Linked DNA regions of Alligator mississippiensis. The protein of the gene in region 1 binds, or shares a complex with, the protein of each later gene. Links are inferred from orthologs where the notes say so. Each region holds a gene or a part of one and is shown on either strand. Other genes may lie near its edges.

Region 1 (7,439 bases):
AGTTTTACAGCAGTGCAACTCCACTGATATCAGTTGGATTACTATTTCTGATTTACGTTTAGCATGAACTGGTACAAAATGGGCCTTATTCAAAGCAGCCATTGAAGTCAGGCAGTGGATGTTGCACTGGCTCCCACGTGTGTTGCCAAATCAGTGGCAAGATATGACTCGGAAGGGCACGTGAGATTGGAGTGGACTTGATGGATTGGGTCCTTTATTAAGATACAGGCACAGCCCCTCCGGACTCGTCTCCAGAGCAGCGCGTTACAAGCGTGCACCCTGGCAATCGGAACTGTGACGGTGTAGAAATGGCACCTTAACACTGAACACATTGGCTCCCCATGTGTCTTGCAAGTTGTATTTGCTTTGTTTACTGAAAAAACACATTTTTACTACCGTCAACACTCCAGAGCCAATAAAGCTGTGGTGGAGAGAGTTGCATTCTCCTCCGTCTTGCACATCACTGCCAACAGACCAGCCAGCACAGATCCCTGGAGCCTGCTAGCCTGTTTCCCCATCTCTGGGGCTGACACCACACACAGTCTGAACACAGTTTTCCTCGGGGCACCAGTTATTGATGGCACAAGCCGTTTCCAGCAAACCCCAGACTAGAACAGCTCAACATAAATCCAGCAGCTTGCTTTTCCCTGCCCCAGGGGCTTCCAGCCAGAGGCTCGGTGCTCCTGGTAACTCTTCCCGGTCCCTCCAATAAGCCATCCACTGGGGAGTCCTCCTGCTGCAGGAACCAGCCTATTTCCTCTAGCTTTCCCCTTCTTCAGCTGAGCTCTTTCAGGCTTTACAGGAATCAGGTGCTCATCAGGAAATCACCTGATCCCTTGCAAACTACCAGGCCCCAATCTGTTCTGAACAGGGCTGCGCTCTTGGCCCCTCAGCCCTAAGAGGCAGATATGCCCAGTTACAGTCCCATCCTACGTGTAACTGTACTCACAGGGGTCAAGTTTGAGAGTCTGCAGGTGCTGGATCTACCCACCTTCTGATTCAAAAATCTTAATTATACCAGTGGGCATGAAGCAGGGACAGGCCATAGCTGCTTCCCTTTCAGAAGGGAAGTGTGCAGCATGAGTGGTTAGGAGAAAAGTATTTGTGTTTTGTTGGTTGTTTTTTTTTACTCCTGAACTGAGTTGATTTTAACACTTAAGTTACTGCAAGGGAAGAAGTGTGTGATCAGAAAAACAGGTTTCACCTTGTTCCCAGTTTATTTCAATCATTTGTACTATCTCCATTCTCTGTTCTAAAGTACTTTTGCCTCAGTACATTTTCCTGGACTGAAGCTAGGATGTCTGTAACGAAAAGGACTCATCTTACACTTGCAATAAGATTTGCCCTTGATTTCATTGGGAGAAGGGTCCAAGTCAATATTCAAGCCAGCTTCTCAGAAATCCTTTGCAAAGAAATGCAAATGTATGACATACTCGCAAAGTGTGCAGGAGTCATGAAATGGCTTATCTATGAGTGTGTGACAGGGCAGGCATATGTATACTCGGGAATGGTGGCACAAGCATACATGCGGACGGATCACGGGCACAACTCTGTTTATGGGAACTGTGTAATAAAAAATAATGCATTAAAAATGCACTCGTTACTTAGCCATGGGAGGCATGGGATGACTTAACATCTGTGCCTGTGCACTCATATTTATGTGAGTTTACCTACTAGAGGCAAGGATCTCTTAGGGTGGGATCTTTTACTGGACTAACGATGCAGGTGGGATAAAGTTAGACAAGCTTTTGAATGCAAGACATCCTTCATCCAGTCTCTTCACTGTGTAGCTTTATGAGTTACCTGCAGCATACTGTGCTTGCTAAAATCAGAGGGGGGACAATGCAAAAAACTAAAATGAAACAAACATGGTTGAGCTGGGTCTGGCTGTCTACTGTTGCTGTATCTATATTACTGTTGCATAAAAAAACGATATGCTTGATCTTGGGCCACCATCGGAAGTAAGCTAATTGCATAAAGCACTTTCTCACTGGAGAAAATAACTCTATACTCACCATTCAGCTATTCATCTATCATTTGGCATGCAGATTCAGTAGGGCCAAGTCAGGACACCACAGTACCCCCATGTTTCCTGCAATTTAGGCAGAAAAAGGTCAGATATATGCAGACCTTGAGGGAAGCAACAAACCCCATCCTGCTCAGAGCAGCTTTGGCACGAGAACTTGTTGGACGTGTCCACGAGTCTAACTGCTAACAGGGCAGCAATAGTACCAGTAGTTAAGATCTGAAGTGCCAGATTCTCAACTGCTATGAATAGCAAAATTGAATGCCAGTTTATGCCAGCTGGGGATCTGGCCTGATCTCTTTACAAGACTGATTCTAGAAGTAGCTGTGTCTATGTGCAGTAGCTTGAACTGTATGAATCTTGGCACTTTCCCTTCAAATACGATACAGCAACATTTTATGTCTTGGCTTCTTGTCATGTTCATACCCCTGGTGTTTCACTTTAGGTTTTCCTATAAATGATCAGCACAGCTCAAGTGGGAGCTAACCGTTGTGTGCGAACCACTGCTGAAAGCTGAGATCCTGCATGCCAACCTTCAGTCAGGAGCAATGTTATTTTCTAGGGGTTGGTGGGGGGAGATGCTGGGAAACCATCTAATAAAATTCTGACTGACTGTTACTACTAATGGTGGCGGCAGGTGTAACTGAACCCTGTCTGCCATGTAGATCCAGATTGTTTTGCCTTCTCTTTATTCTCAGTTGTATCTATATTGGTTGTAGAGCATTCTGCCTGTAGTCAGCACATAAGCGAAAGTAAGAGGCCCTGTTGTAGAGCCCTGATCCAGCAACGCCACTTTAGCACACAGTTAACATTAAATCACATGAATAGTCCCTTGTGATTTAAGCAGGGCCCCAAGTTCTTTACTGGAAGGTGCCTATCTTAAAAGAGATGAAGGAGGAATGAAAGAATGAAGGGGACATCCTCAGTGTGGGGTCAAGCCTAAATTTATGAAATAAAAGATAACTGGACACGAAAACAAGACATTTGACAAAAATATGGATTGTTGTCCCATGTATAGAGCATGCCCTTGGAAGAGTCTAAATGTAACGTTTTGAAAAGTGTGCATGTGATTTATGAGCCTAAATCTCAATTTCATAAGTGACTTGGGTACTTAAAGAGTCCCATGAGAGGCAGGCTCCAAGAACTAAACTTCTGAGAACAGGACTTGGGCACTTCTGGAGGTCTTGCACCACATCTTAATAGCGGGCACTGCCGTTCATCTTTATAATATCGCTGCAAGGGCCAGATTTCTCTGGTGCTCCTTGGTGAATAATTATTCTGCAGTGGTGAAATAGCATTCAGGGTCACTTGGTAATGTTACTATCCCTGCATAGCACATTGCCCCTGGCTTGCTCCCTGTTTTCTGTGTTGACCATACCTATAACCTTCCTTTGCTCCCCTTATAGAAAAGTCCTATGGCATTTAATAGGAAATCTTAACCTTTCCATCAGCTTTTTCTTAATAACCACAGAGAATTTAATAAAGCATCATAACCCCCTCTATAGAACTTGATAGCAGCTTGTCATTTAAAAAAAGGCTATAGACAAAGTCTTCACCCCCTCATCAGCTCTGAAGACTTCAAGAGGATTTTTCCTTGGCTCCATCCACCAGTACATTCAAGAGGACTCCTCTCTCCCAGACTTTCTTTTCCTATTTATGTGTTTACAAAAACCAGTCTGTCCTCCAGAGTGGGGGTGGAGGGAGGGGGGGGGGGGCAGCTATGTCTTCCACATTGTTTCAAGGTTTGCCAGTTGAAAAAAGAAGGGAAGGTAGGAAACAAACATTTAGGGTTTGTTTTTAACTTCCACCGCCTCCTGAACAGCTGTTAGGATGTCCTTTTATTACTATTCATTGTTGCTGTTGTTATTAGTTGTTGTTGGTGTGGTTACTTCTCGGAGTGGCTGTGTCCTTGGGATGCAGTTAGAGGAGCAACCCAGCGCACCACGTCCTGCCCCGGGTCTGTGCGTGCACACGGGGAGCGGAGCAGGGCCAGGGCCAGGGCCAGGGCAGGAGCGGGAGCAGAGCTGTGCCCGGGTGCGCAGAAGGCAGCGGCTTCCCCCGCAGCCAGCAGAGGGCTCGCTCCGCCCGGTGCATGGCAGGAGCCGGGCCGGCGGGGGAGGCGGTGCAGCCCGGTCCCCGCCGGGCTCCCGGCCAGCAGCAGCGCTCAGTAGCAATTGCATCACGGGCCCCCAGCAGCCAGGTAGCGCTGAACTGGGGAAGCCGATCAATAAGTCCATAAATAAATGTGGGGGGGCAGAAGGGGGGGGGAGCCCTCCGCCTTGCCCAGCTGCAGCCAGCCCTGCCTGGGGGTGGCGGCGCTGCACCCGGGGGGCCTCCCGGAGAGACGCGCATCCCCCGCGGGCTGCGGGGGTGGCGGGGCGGGTGCGTGCGTGTGCATGTGCGTGTGTGTGCATGTGCGTGTGTGTGGTTTTTTGGGTTTTTTTTTTTTTTGCATGGAAGGGGGGGTGAGCAGAGAGTCGGTGGTTTCCATGGTGATGGAGCTGAAAGTGCAGGAAATTTAAAGGCTTTGGATCCTTGCAAAGCAGACAAACTGGTGCCAACGTGCGCGGCCGCCGTGCAGAGCGGCGGAGAGGAGCCTGCGAGAGGAGCCCGGCCGGGAAGCATTTGCAAAAAAGGAAAGCGCTGGGGTGGTGGTGGAGGTGGGGGGGGGGAAGAAGAAGAAGAAGAAACCCCCCTCCTCCCCCCAAAAGACCCCCCCCTACACACACACCCCTCCAGCTGCCGCCGCCTCGTGCTGCAGCAGGCGCGGGACGGAGCCCGCTCGCGGGCAGCGCCGGAGGAGAGGCTGCGAGCGCGGGGCGGGGGGGGAGCCTTGTTGGGGGGCCGGGGGCGCCCCGTCGGGACGGGCGGCTCGGCTCTCCCCCCCCCGGCCGCGGTGGCGGATGCAGTTGGCTGCCCCCGAGGATGGAGCACAACCAGTGCCTGGCCACCATCTACGCCTTGGCGGTGCTGCTGGGGCTCCGCATGGGGCAGGGCGCCTGCCAGCACTACCTGCACATCCGCCCGGCGCCCAGCGACAACCTGCCCCTGGTGGACCTCATCGAGCACCCGGACCCTATCTTTGACCCCAAGGAGAAGGATCTTAACGAGACCTTGCTCAGGAGCCTCCTGGGCGGGCACTTCGACGCCAACTTCATGGCCACCGCCGTGCCCGAGGAGCGGCTCGGGGGGGACGACCTGGCCGAGCTGGACTTGCTGCTCCGGCAGAGACCCTCGGGGGCGATGCCCAGCGACATCAAAGGGCTGGAGTTTGCCGACGGGCTGCAGCCGGGCAAGAAGCACCGGCTGAGCAAGAAGCTGCGCAGGAAGCTGCAGCTGTGGCTCTGGTCGCAGACCTTCTGCCCCGTGCTCTACACCTGGAACGACCTGGGCAGCCGCTTCTGGCCCCGCTTCGTCAAGGTGGGCAGCTGCTACAGCAAGCGGTCGTGCTCCGTGCCCGAGGGCATGCTGTGCAAGCCGGCCAAGTCCGTGCATTTGACCATCCTGCGCTGGCGGTGCCAGCGGCGGGGCGGGCAGCGCTGCGCCTGGATCCCCATCCAGTACCCCATCATCTCGGAGTGCAAGTGCTCCTGCTAGGGACACGTGTGGACCCGGCCCGCTTTCTGCCCCGCGTTGTCATGCACTGTACCGTGTAGGAGAATGTATATGTGTGTGTGTGTGTGTATATATGGCAGCCTTCTCGTTGACTATTAAAAAAGGTCAGTATTATCCCGGCAAGTCCTCAGCGTCCGCTGTATATTTGTGAGCTCCGGGTCCTGGCTCGGGGCTCTCTTTCTCCCGGGTCTTCATGCTCCCCAGACGGATGACTTTTTTTTTTTTAATTATTATCATTATTATTTTTAATTTAATAAAAGGTGTTTGGAGAGGGGGGAGGGATTTTTTTGATAAAGGAAAAGCCCAGGCTGAGAAGAGAAGTTTTTGAAGCGATGTGCCGCTGCACGTGTGCGCGCGCGGGGGAGGTGGGGGGGGTTGTTTCTGATGGACTTCAGAGTTTAAACACACACACACACAGAAGAGGACACACACACACACACACATACACAGAGAAGAGGATGAAGGCTTTGATGGCTGGCAAGGAAGAGTGTCTATTTATTCTTGCTATACCCCCGTAGTCCAAGGGCAGCGCGGGATTAAAAATCGACCACTAAAATAATCCGAGCTGGGCTGCTTGTGTGTGCTTTGTGGCTGGGTTGTTTGCTCCCCGCCCGGCGCGTGTCGCCGCTGGACATGTCACCTCCACGGGCCACGCGTGTCTCGCACCGGCCCGGCGCCGTCGCGGGTGGGCTGCCCCTCGGGGCTCCGCCGTGCCCGGGCTGGGAGGCGGCAGGAGGCGCGCACGTGCTCCCTGCCCCTGCCCCCGAGCCGCCTCCACGTGCTGCAGCCGGGGCCTGATTGACCTTGCAATCAAAAGCCCCTTCTTCAAGTTTCCCCTTCCCAGGCACTGGGTGCCTGCTCCTGTCCCGGCTCCCGCCCTGCCCAGCGCCTCCGCCGCCGCGCTGCTTCTCATCCCCCCCCAAAAAAGCAAGCCCCAGAGATCTGGGGACATTTGGGGTATTCATTAACCTCGCGAAGAGGAACAGCGGCATTATTACTCACCTCGGAGGCGCCCTGCCCCCGACACTATCTGAGGGTTCATTGTAAAAGGATTAAAAGTTAAAGACCTTCATCTTATGATTCTTGCATTTAATCTTCGTGGCGCCTGAAAGACATGCTGAATGGATGATCACATTTAAAATATTCCCAATGTCGGCTACCTTCGGACTCCGGGGCAGGGCAAACACACGTAATTTATTTCTAGAAGAAAGGGGATATTGAGATGTTTTAAAGTTTTCTGAACCACCGGCCCCATGTCTATTTGTTAGGTTCTGACAAATACCCAAATAACATTGAAATCAGCCATTCATCACAGATGAATTTATGCAAAACCTTCTGCGCCCGGGGCCAATATTTTTTTAGACACCGTTTCACTTGCAAAAAAAAAAAAAAAGCCAAAAGCAAGAGTTTTTCATGACGGGTAAACACGAGAATTATGTGAACAGAAACTATTTCATGCTGGGATGGCAGCCAGGGACTTGGGAATGTCAACAAAAGTTCCCCGAAGGTTGAACATGTCACTGGATTACAATAAGACGTCCTTTCCCCTGTTAGCAAACCTCACTGAAGGACTATTCCCACTAGCTACCTTCTCTTCTCACCCAGTCATGCAGAGGTCTGTAATTGCTGCAGTTACTGCTGGGACTTCATGCAGACACTGCTTCTGACTCTTGGTTAAAGGTTAAAATGACTCTACCTGTGTGTGCTACATGCATGTTATTTTTAACCTGACTGTATTCCTGCAATCAGTGAACAGATATAGCATATAGTATATATTCCTTCTTATTAATAGCTCCCT
Region 2 (6,998 bases), on another chromosome or scaffold:
CTTTAAGTTAAGCATGAAACCATTTGTGTAACCTGAACATACATTTACTTCATTTAGGTTAATCTTGCATACTGATGACCTGAATGAGCCACTGGTATGCATCTGGCAATTTGGATGCATGACCATGACAACAATGCATACAAATTAGGCACATGCAATTGCACACAAATTGTGTGTACTTTATTTGTTTTAGAAGTGGGCCCTTTATTTCTAAACTAGTCACTTCCATCCAGCAACAGTGCATGTATTTCTACATAAACACAAATAATAGCTAATATACAAATCATACACATGCAAAATACTAAGATACCCAAAAGATGAAAATAGAAGCACTCAGTTATTTTTTTAAAGAAATCATCTGAAACAGCCACAGCCAACATCCAGGTATTGCTTCATCATCAGCACTCAACTCTCCTTCTCTGACAGGGAGCAGGAGGAGGAGGAGGAGGAGGAGCAGCGGATGGCAGTTAAGAGGAAAAACTGGTTTCTTAATTGACCTGGGAGAGAAGAGAAAGAGGGTGATGACATGGGGTTGCCAATATTTTCAGCAATTTGTCTACAGTACTTGGGAGCTGACCCTGAGAGCACCAATAAATGAGGTCAAGCAGTATGCAAAATATGATGGAAGAAACATTAGAATCAGAAATTATGGCATAGACAATATCCTCTAATTGCAGCATGTATGTGTAAAATCCATGTTCGCAGCTAAATGTTGACCCCATCTCACTCCATCATGCTATATTGCACACAGTGGGACATACTGGGACATACTCTTGGTTGCACCCAACAGCCTCACTGAAGTCAACATGTAATTGAGAAATCAATTCTCTAAGACAGTGGTTTTCAACCTGTGTTCTGCGGACCCCTGGGGGTCTGCAGACTACATCTAAGGGGTCCAGGAAAGATGACTATGATCAATCAGAAATGTGTGAATACCCACACTTACCATACCGCACTGCCATTAAAATTTTTTTAGGGATCTGAAAATGAAAAAAGGTTGAAAACTACTGCTCTATGAGTGGTTTTTCAAGAGTGGTTTTTTGCTGTTCTCAACCCTCACTCACAAAGAATGCCTCTGGCACCTGGTATATAACAGTGGCAAACTCACTCTTAGGCATATCTGTCATGTATCTATTTCAGCAGATTGTATTTAGCAGTCTGTCTCAACAATCACAAGCCAGACATTTTTGTAGAACAGCATGTGGAGAAATTACCTGCAGCAGCTTCAAAGAAAAAGTTTGGTTCTCTGATACTTATAATAATCCCCTTTCATAAAAAGTTTATTGCTTATGCCAGATCCCACAATATCCTCTCTCTACTTGATTCTGAGCCTGTCAAACCAGGTATGTTGGTCCACAGTTTAGGCCAGGAAGTAAAGAATAAAGCCATACAAAATAGCAATGAAAAAGATTATTAAAAGATTGGATCCATTTCCATGCAAGTGTGAGAGACGGCCCTGTCACTCACTACACCTGGGGAAAGGACAATTATTAAGCTGATACACAATACACTGCTTGATCTTAACCCCCACAAGGCAACTTAACCAACTGAAGCTAGGGGGAAGTTAAGTAGGGAATGAAGAATCATAACTAGAACCAGAAGAACCTGCCAAACCAAGAAGTCTCAAAATTTGTCTCCCATAAAAAATGACACAATCAATCCCAGAAATCAGCTACCTGAAGATTTTTCCAGAGCCCAAATCTTCCAGTTCAGAAGAACTGAGTATCTTCCCTTTCCCCCAAACAAGCAGTGCTTTTTAAGGGGATGTTGTTAACTTGAAAATTGCCCTATATATGGTTTCTAGAAATATACCTGCTCTTAAGGCTCCTTGTCCATTTCTATAATCTTCATCTATTGTATAGTATTTTAATTTCAATATGTTTTTCTCCCTGGTTTGTTGGGTGAAAGGCCTGCACATAAGGCAACAGCAGGAGGAACGGACAGAGGGGAGAGACTAGGCCCAATCACTGTCAAATGCACCAAGGAAACAAAACACCCTTTTGTGTTGAAATCCATGCCAGTTATATGTTTTCAAACACGAAGGCCGCAATTCTTAGAAATGTTTTGGCATTACCACTTAGGAACAAATCCAGGGTTTGTACAAATGATGATACACAAAATAAGCTGGTATTTTATTATTGTATGCAGTTGCAATCACAGCTAATTCATGTGAAGGGACTCTAGAAGGCCCCTTCTGGATATCATGGTGGTATATCTGTATTACCACTATCTTAGACACTTCTATGGATAGCATCACCATAGTACCTGGGTGACTCACAATACTTAAATATAGGTAGCCTTACCAGTCTATGAGCCAGGGAAATACTAGTATTCCCATTTTAGGACAGAGATGGGAAGCAGAGAAAGGCTAAATGATAGGCTAATGTCACATAAGGGATTGGTGGCAGAGCTGGGAATTGAACAAGGCTCTTCCAACACACACACCTGAAGCCTTAAATCATGGCTTCTGTTTGTATTGGGAGCCAGCAAGAGATGACGGGGCAAACCACCTGTCACCTCCAGTCCTTCTCCTGCCCCCCAGGCAGGCTGGCAGTGCTTCTCTAGAGCTATAAAAGATTCTTGCCACCCCTTTGAAAAGCAGCAGAAGAATGAGGAAGGGCCTGGCAGCTAGGCTCCTAACGGACTCTCCCCCTTTCTCAATGTGGTCTAAAAATGGACCACTCCAGTTCTGTCTCTCACTTTCTCCTCTGTTAAAAAGCAAAGAGTGCCTCCTTCACCCAGCTCTTATAACAAGCTACTCACTGTTTGCACAACACTTTTAGGATACACTGGTCTGTATAAATGCGGAGTGTTCTTTTATTGTAGCCAGCCTGAGCCTTTATTGGGAAGGGCAGCATATAAATTGGCATTGTATAAACTGAATAAATAAATAAAAATGAATAACTATTCATTTCTGGGTGCAGAAGGCAGGTGGGACCAGGTGTTCAGACTTCTGGGCATGGCAAGGCTCATCAGGAAGCATCAAAGACTACGAGCATGTCAAGGCAGTGGAAACAACCTCTTTTCCCTCCTCTCCTTTCACTCTTCCCGCCAGGGCTGAATCAAAAAATCAACATATAGTCTGAATTATTTCCGGTCCTCTCCTCTCAAGAGATTACTGCTGAATGCTGTCATTTATTTCTCCTTTGTGTTATGGTAGAGCTGGCAGGGCTCAGCCAGGATTGGGCTCTATTCTTCCAGACATTGTAGGGACACTTAGTAAGAGACAGCCCCTGCTCCAAAGGGCTGATAACCCCATCCTGGACAAGATGCAACAAGTGAGTGTAGCTAACAATGGAAGGAAAAGAGAGGGGAGGAGATGAGAGGGAGACAGACTGTGACAAACACTAGCTGTGCGCACAAGCTGATGGGTCCGGGGCCATGTCACTGGTATCCTGTATTGTTTTAAACTTTCACCTATTAACCCATAACCTCCTGGCCTTCTTTAACACTTCTCCACTCACATCCCCCCCGACCGCCTGTGGGTACAAGCGACCTTGGGCTACCTTTCCTACTGGTATCATTACATTTTAAATGCATGCCTGTATTGGTCTTTTGCCTTCTGGGCAGGCTCTGCCCCACTGCACTGCTTAGTTTATTTTGTTTTATATATGCATACCCCCCCTCCCCTCCACTAAACAGCCCTCCCCCAGCACTGCCTTCCCCTTAATCATGTTTACATTAATTTAACTACTTGGGAATGGCTCACCCTTTCTTCTAAGCCAGAAGCCTCCATAAACATCCTGAAAAGCAACCTGATCAGATGTTCCTCCTCTAGGCAGTAACACGGATTTTCTTCTCTAAGCAGTTTGGAGAGAGAGAGCGAGCAGAGAGCAAGCGAGGGAGGGTGTTGAGTTGTGCTGCCTGCTCCTCCCACCAGATACAACCTCCTGCTGCCTGTCTGTAAAGCAGCATTTCAAACACTTGTGAGAAGTGAAGAGGGAGAGAGAGAGAGAGAGAGAAAGAAATCAGACCCTAAAGAAAGAGGGGAAAGGGAGTGGAAAGCACCACTCAGGAGTGATCCTTGCTATTTATCTCATGGATTTTACAAACTAAACCACCTCCCCCCCCCAGAGGCAAACTTTTATCATGAGTTTGCTGAAGCCTGAGCTGCAGGGCTGCCCTCTAGCCAAGTGATCAGAGCTTTGCGGGGCAGGCACTTTCCCCCTCTCCAGCTGTCTTTCATGGTAAAGTATTTATTCCTGCTCAGCAGCCCCGTGGGTCTCTTCATCTCCCCTCCGTGCAGGAGAGATGCGCGCCGCGTGGCCCGGGCAGCCTGCCTCCCGGCTGCTGGTCCTCTCGTGCTTGTGGCTGCGCTGCATCCTGGCGGACTTCACCTTGGACAATGAGGTGCACTCCAGCTTCATCCACCGGCGGCTGCGGAGCCAGGAGCGCCGGGAGATGCAGCGGGAGATCCTCTCCATCCTGGGCTTGCCGCACCGGCCCCGGCCCCATCTGCACGGCAAGCAGAACTCAGCCCCCATGTTCATGCTGGATCTCTACAATGCCATGTCGGTGGAGGAGGCGGCCGGGGCGGCGGGGGAGGAGGGAGAGGGCTTCTCCTACCCTTACAAGCCCATCTTCAGCACCCAGGGCCCCCCCCTGGCCAGCCTGCAGGACAGCAACTTCCTCACCGAGGCAGACATGGTCATGAGCTTCGTGAACCTGGGTGAGTGTCCGAGCCCAGCCCGGGGCAGCCTGCACAGGTCTGGGACAGCCTGGGGCAAAGGATCTGAGTTTGGGGCAAGTGTCTGGAGTGGGATGGGGTGGAAGGAAGCTGGTTTCTCTGCTGGCAAAAGCAAAGAGATGGACCCAATGGCACCACAGCCTCTGGTGGGGACAGGAGAGAATAGGCTGTGGTGGGGCAGGTAGCAACAAGGGGCGCATATGGCCCTGCTGGCAGGTGGCTTTGGGCAGGGCAGGGGAAGTAAGTGGCTCTAGATCCAGCCTTTGTTGCAGTGTGAATTTAAGTGTCAGGAGGTTTGGAAATCAGCTGGAAAGGGCTCACTCAGAACCTATGTCCTATGAGTAGGACTTTTACTGTGCCCCATCAGATCTCATCTGGCCTGCTGCCATGCTCCCTCCTTCTTCTTCCCTCTTGCTCCTCCACACGGAATGAGTTACCTTGCAGAATCCACGAGGGAGTGGACCTGTACAGGACCTGTTAGTGGCTCTGTCTGGCTTCTTGCACCACCAAGAAAGACGTGAAGCCAACAAAAGACCCTGGATTGCAACACAGTTCAAAGCCCTGAGCTTGGAATCATGTGGATGATCACAATGCCACCAGAGCCGCTTAAGTGGACAGACCCTAGTGGAGTGGCCAAGGCAGCCTTAACTAGATTGAGAGGGCCAGGCTGCTGGAGTCTGTTTTCTTAATGGCTTGAGAAGGATTCCAGGGTAAATCCTTATTTACTCCTGCAGCTCTTTCTAGTGACCCCAGTTGAGGCAAGCTAACGTGCTTCCTTTCACACACACATGTGGATGGGTTTATGCAAATGACATGAAAGTTGCCACGCTTTGTATGCAGCTCACTGAGCTGCTTTAATTGGATGCCGCAGTTTGCTGATATCCTCCTGATCTCTATTCGTTGGCTATAGATTGCACACCCTTTGGGACTTACTCAGCCGGATTTGAGTAAAATGCTGTCAGGACAAGCATTCTATTTTAAATATATAATTATAGGTCCCAGTTCACTGTATCTAGTTTTAGCCCTCATCACGTGCGGCTCTGAAACCACCAGATGTACAGATTGGGTGCCTGCAAATTCAAGTCAAAATCTGAATGATAATTCCAGAGCAGGGTTGACTCAAACTTTGCCTAAATGAGGAGCCGTTTGCAAGGAGTGAGAAGGATGCACCTGAGATGCATGAAATGGTACAGATGGCAGATGCCCTCATCTTAAATCCTGTAATAAATCTGCCATCACCTAGAACTTCCTGGTTATCACTTGGAGCTTCATGGTGGCAACAGGCATTGTGCAATAGTTGTCCTTCCCCTAGCACTATGGGCTAAAGCAGAAGTATCAGTAGCTGTATAGGCTTTATGACACACACATATGTGAATAGCTGTGATCATATACAGTAGCCAACCTCAGTCCAATCCTGAAGTGATACTTGGAGATGGAGCACTGCATGCTGAGATCTCAAGTTTCAGTGGAATTGCATCTCCATATTAAATACCATAAGCCTCACTGGTAGGACTCTACAATTGGCCCAAAGGCTGTAGTCTTTTCAGACTGCTAATATAGTCCATTTGGAAGTATAATGCTTGTCTAATAGTTTTTCAGTATGTAAGCCAATTAGCATTGATACATTTTAAAATCAATATTTGTGCAGCCAGGAGTACCACTGGTGGGCAAATATTTGACTTTAGAGATAAGAGAAATGGTGTTAATATTGTGCTGTGCTGTACCTCAGTGTACATATAATGTATGGCCAGAGTGCGGGGACATACAGAAAACAAAGGAAATAAACAAAGTTGGCACTTTTATTTTCTACTGTAAAAGTAGATTCTTTTTTTGAAAGGGCTGAATATTTAATAGAGTCAACTCCAGATAGTGAGATTTACCTCCAGGTGAACAATTATATCCTTTGGTTTTTGTGAAGTTAGTTTCGAGGTAGATCTCATAAATGCAGCTCTGGGGACCCAGTTCCAAGCTCAATAATGTGGGGAAAAGCCATCTTTGAAGGCCCCTGGAGTTTTATGTAAAAGACATTATGGTTTAGCCTCTAAAGTAACTTATTTTGCACAAACATGTTAGCTCAGTGTAATCATAGTGAAATTAGTCAATACATTTGTAATTGAGATTTGTTTTCTTGGATGCATCTATCCCATGAATCTAAAAGAACATATCAATAAAGATTATTATATGTAAATTACACAGGTTACAGTATAACATTAAAATTATGAACTGCATAAAAATGTCGGCTTTTGTAATCAGTTTAAAGAGTATGAAAATGTTCTTGCCAAAGTATTTCATTATTATTTAGTTTAATTTC

The links. Proteins that work in one complex are often made in the same cells at the same time.
Region 2: the proteins of NOG (region 1) and BMP7 are in contact, whole or in part, in a crystal structure (PDB 1M4U), measured with the Homo sapiens proteins. The link is inferred for Alligator mississippiensis from reciprocal best matches to the Homo sapiens genes NOG and BMP7. Residues at the interface, in NP_005441.1 of Homo sapiens: His29, Tyr30, Leu31, His32, Ile33, Arg34, Pro35, Ala36; in NP_001710.1 of Homo sapiens: Phe365, Pro366, Leu367, Asn368, Ser369, Asn375, Ile378, Val379.

What each region holds. Positions count from the first base shown.
Region 1 is NC_081831.1:7,825,129-7,832,567, reverse strand, and holds the start of NOG (noggin), read left to right. Parts: upstream 1-4,439; 5' UTR 4,440-4,951; coding exon 4,952-5,623; 3' UTR 5,624-7,439. UniProt on the Homo sapiens protein: Inhibitor of bone morphogenetic proteins (BMP) signaling which is required for growth and patterning of the neural tube and somite. Essential for cartilage morphogenesis and joint formation.
Region 2 is NC_081832.1:9,428,563-9,435,560, forward strand, and holds the start of BMP7 (bone morphogenetic protein 7), read left to right. Parts: upstream 1-3,945; 5' UTR 3,946-4,251; coding exon 4,252-4,669; intron 4,670-6,998. UniProt on the Homo sapiens protein: Growth factor of the TGF-beta superfamily that plays important role in various biological processes, including embryogenesis, hematopoiesis, neurogenesis and skeletal morphogenesis.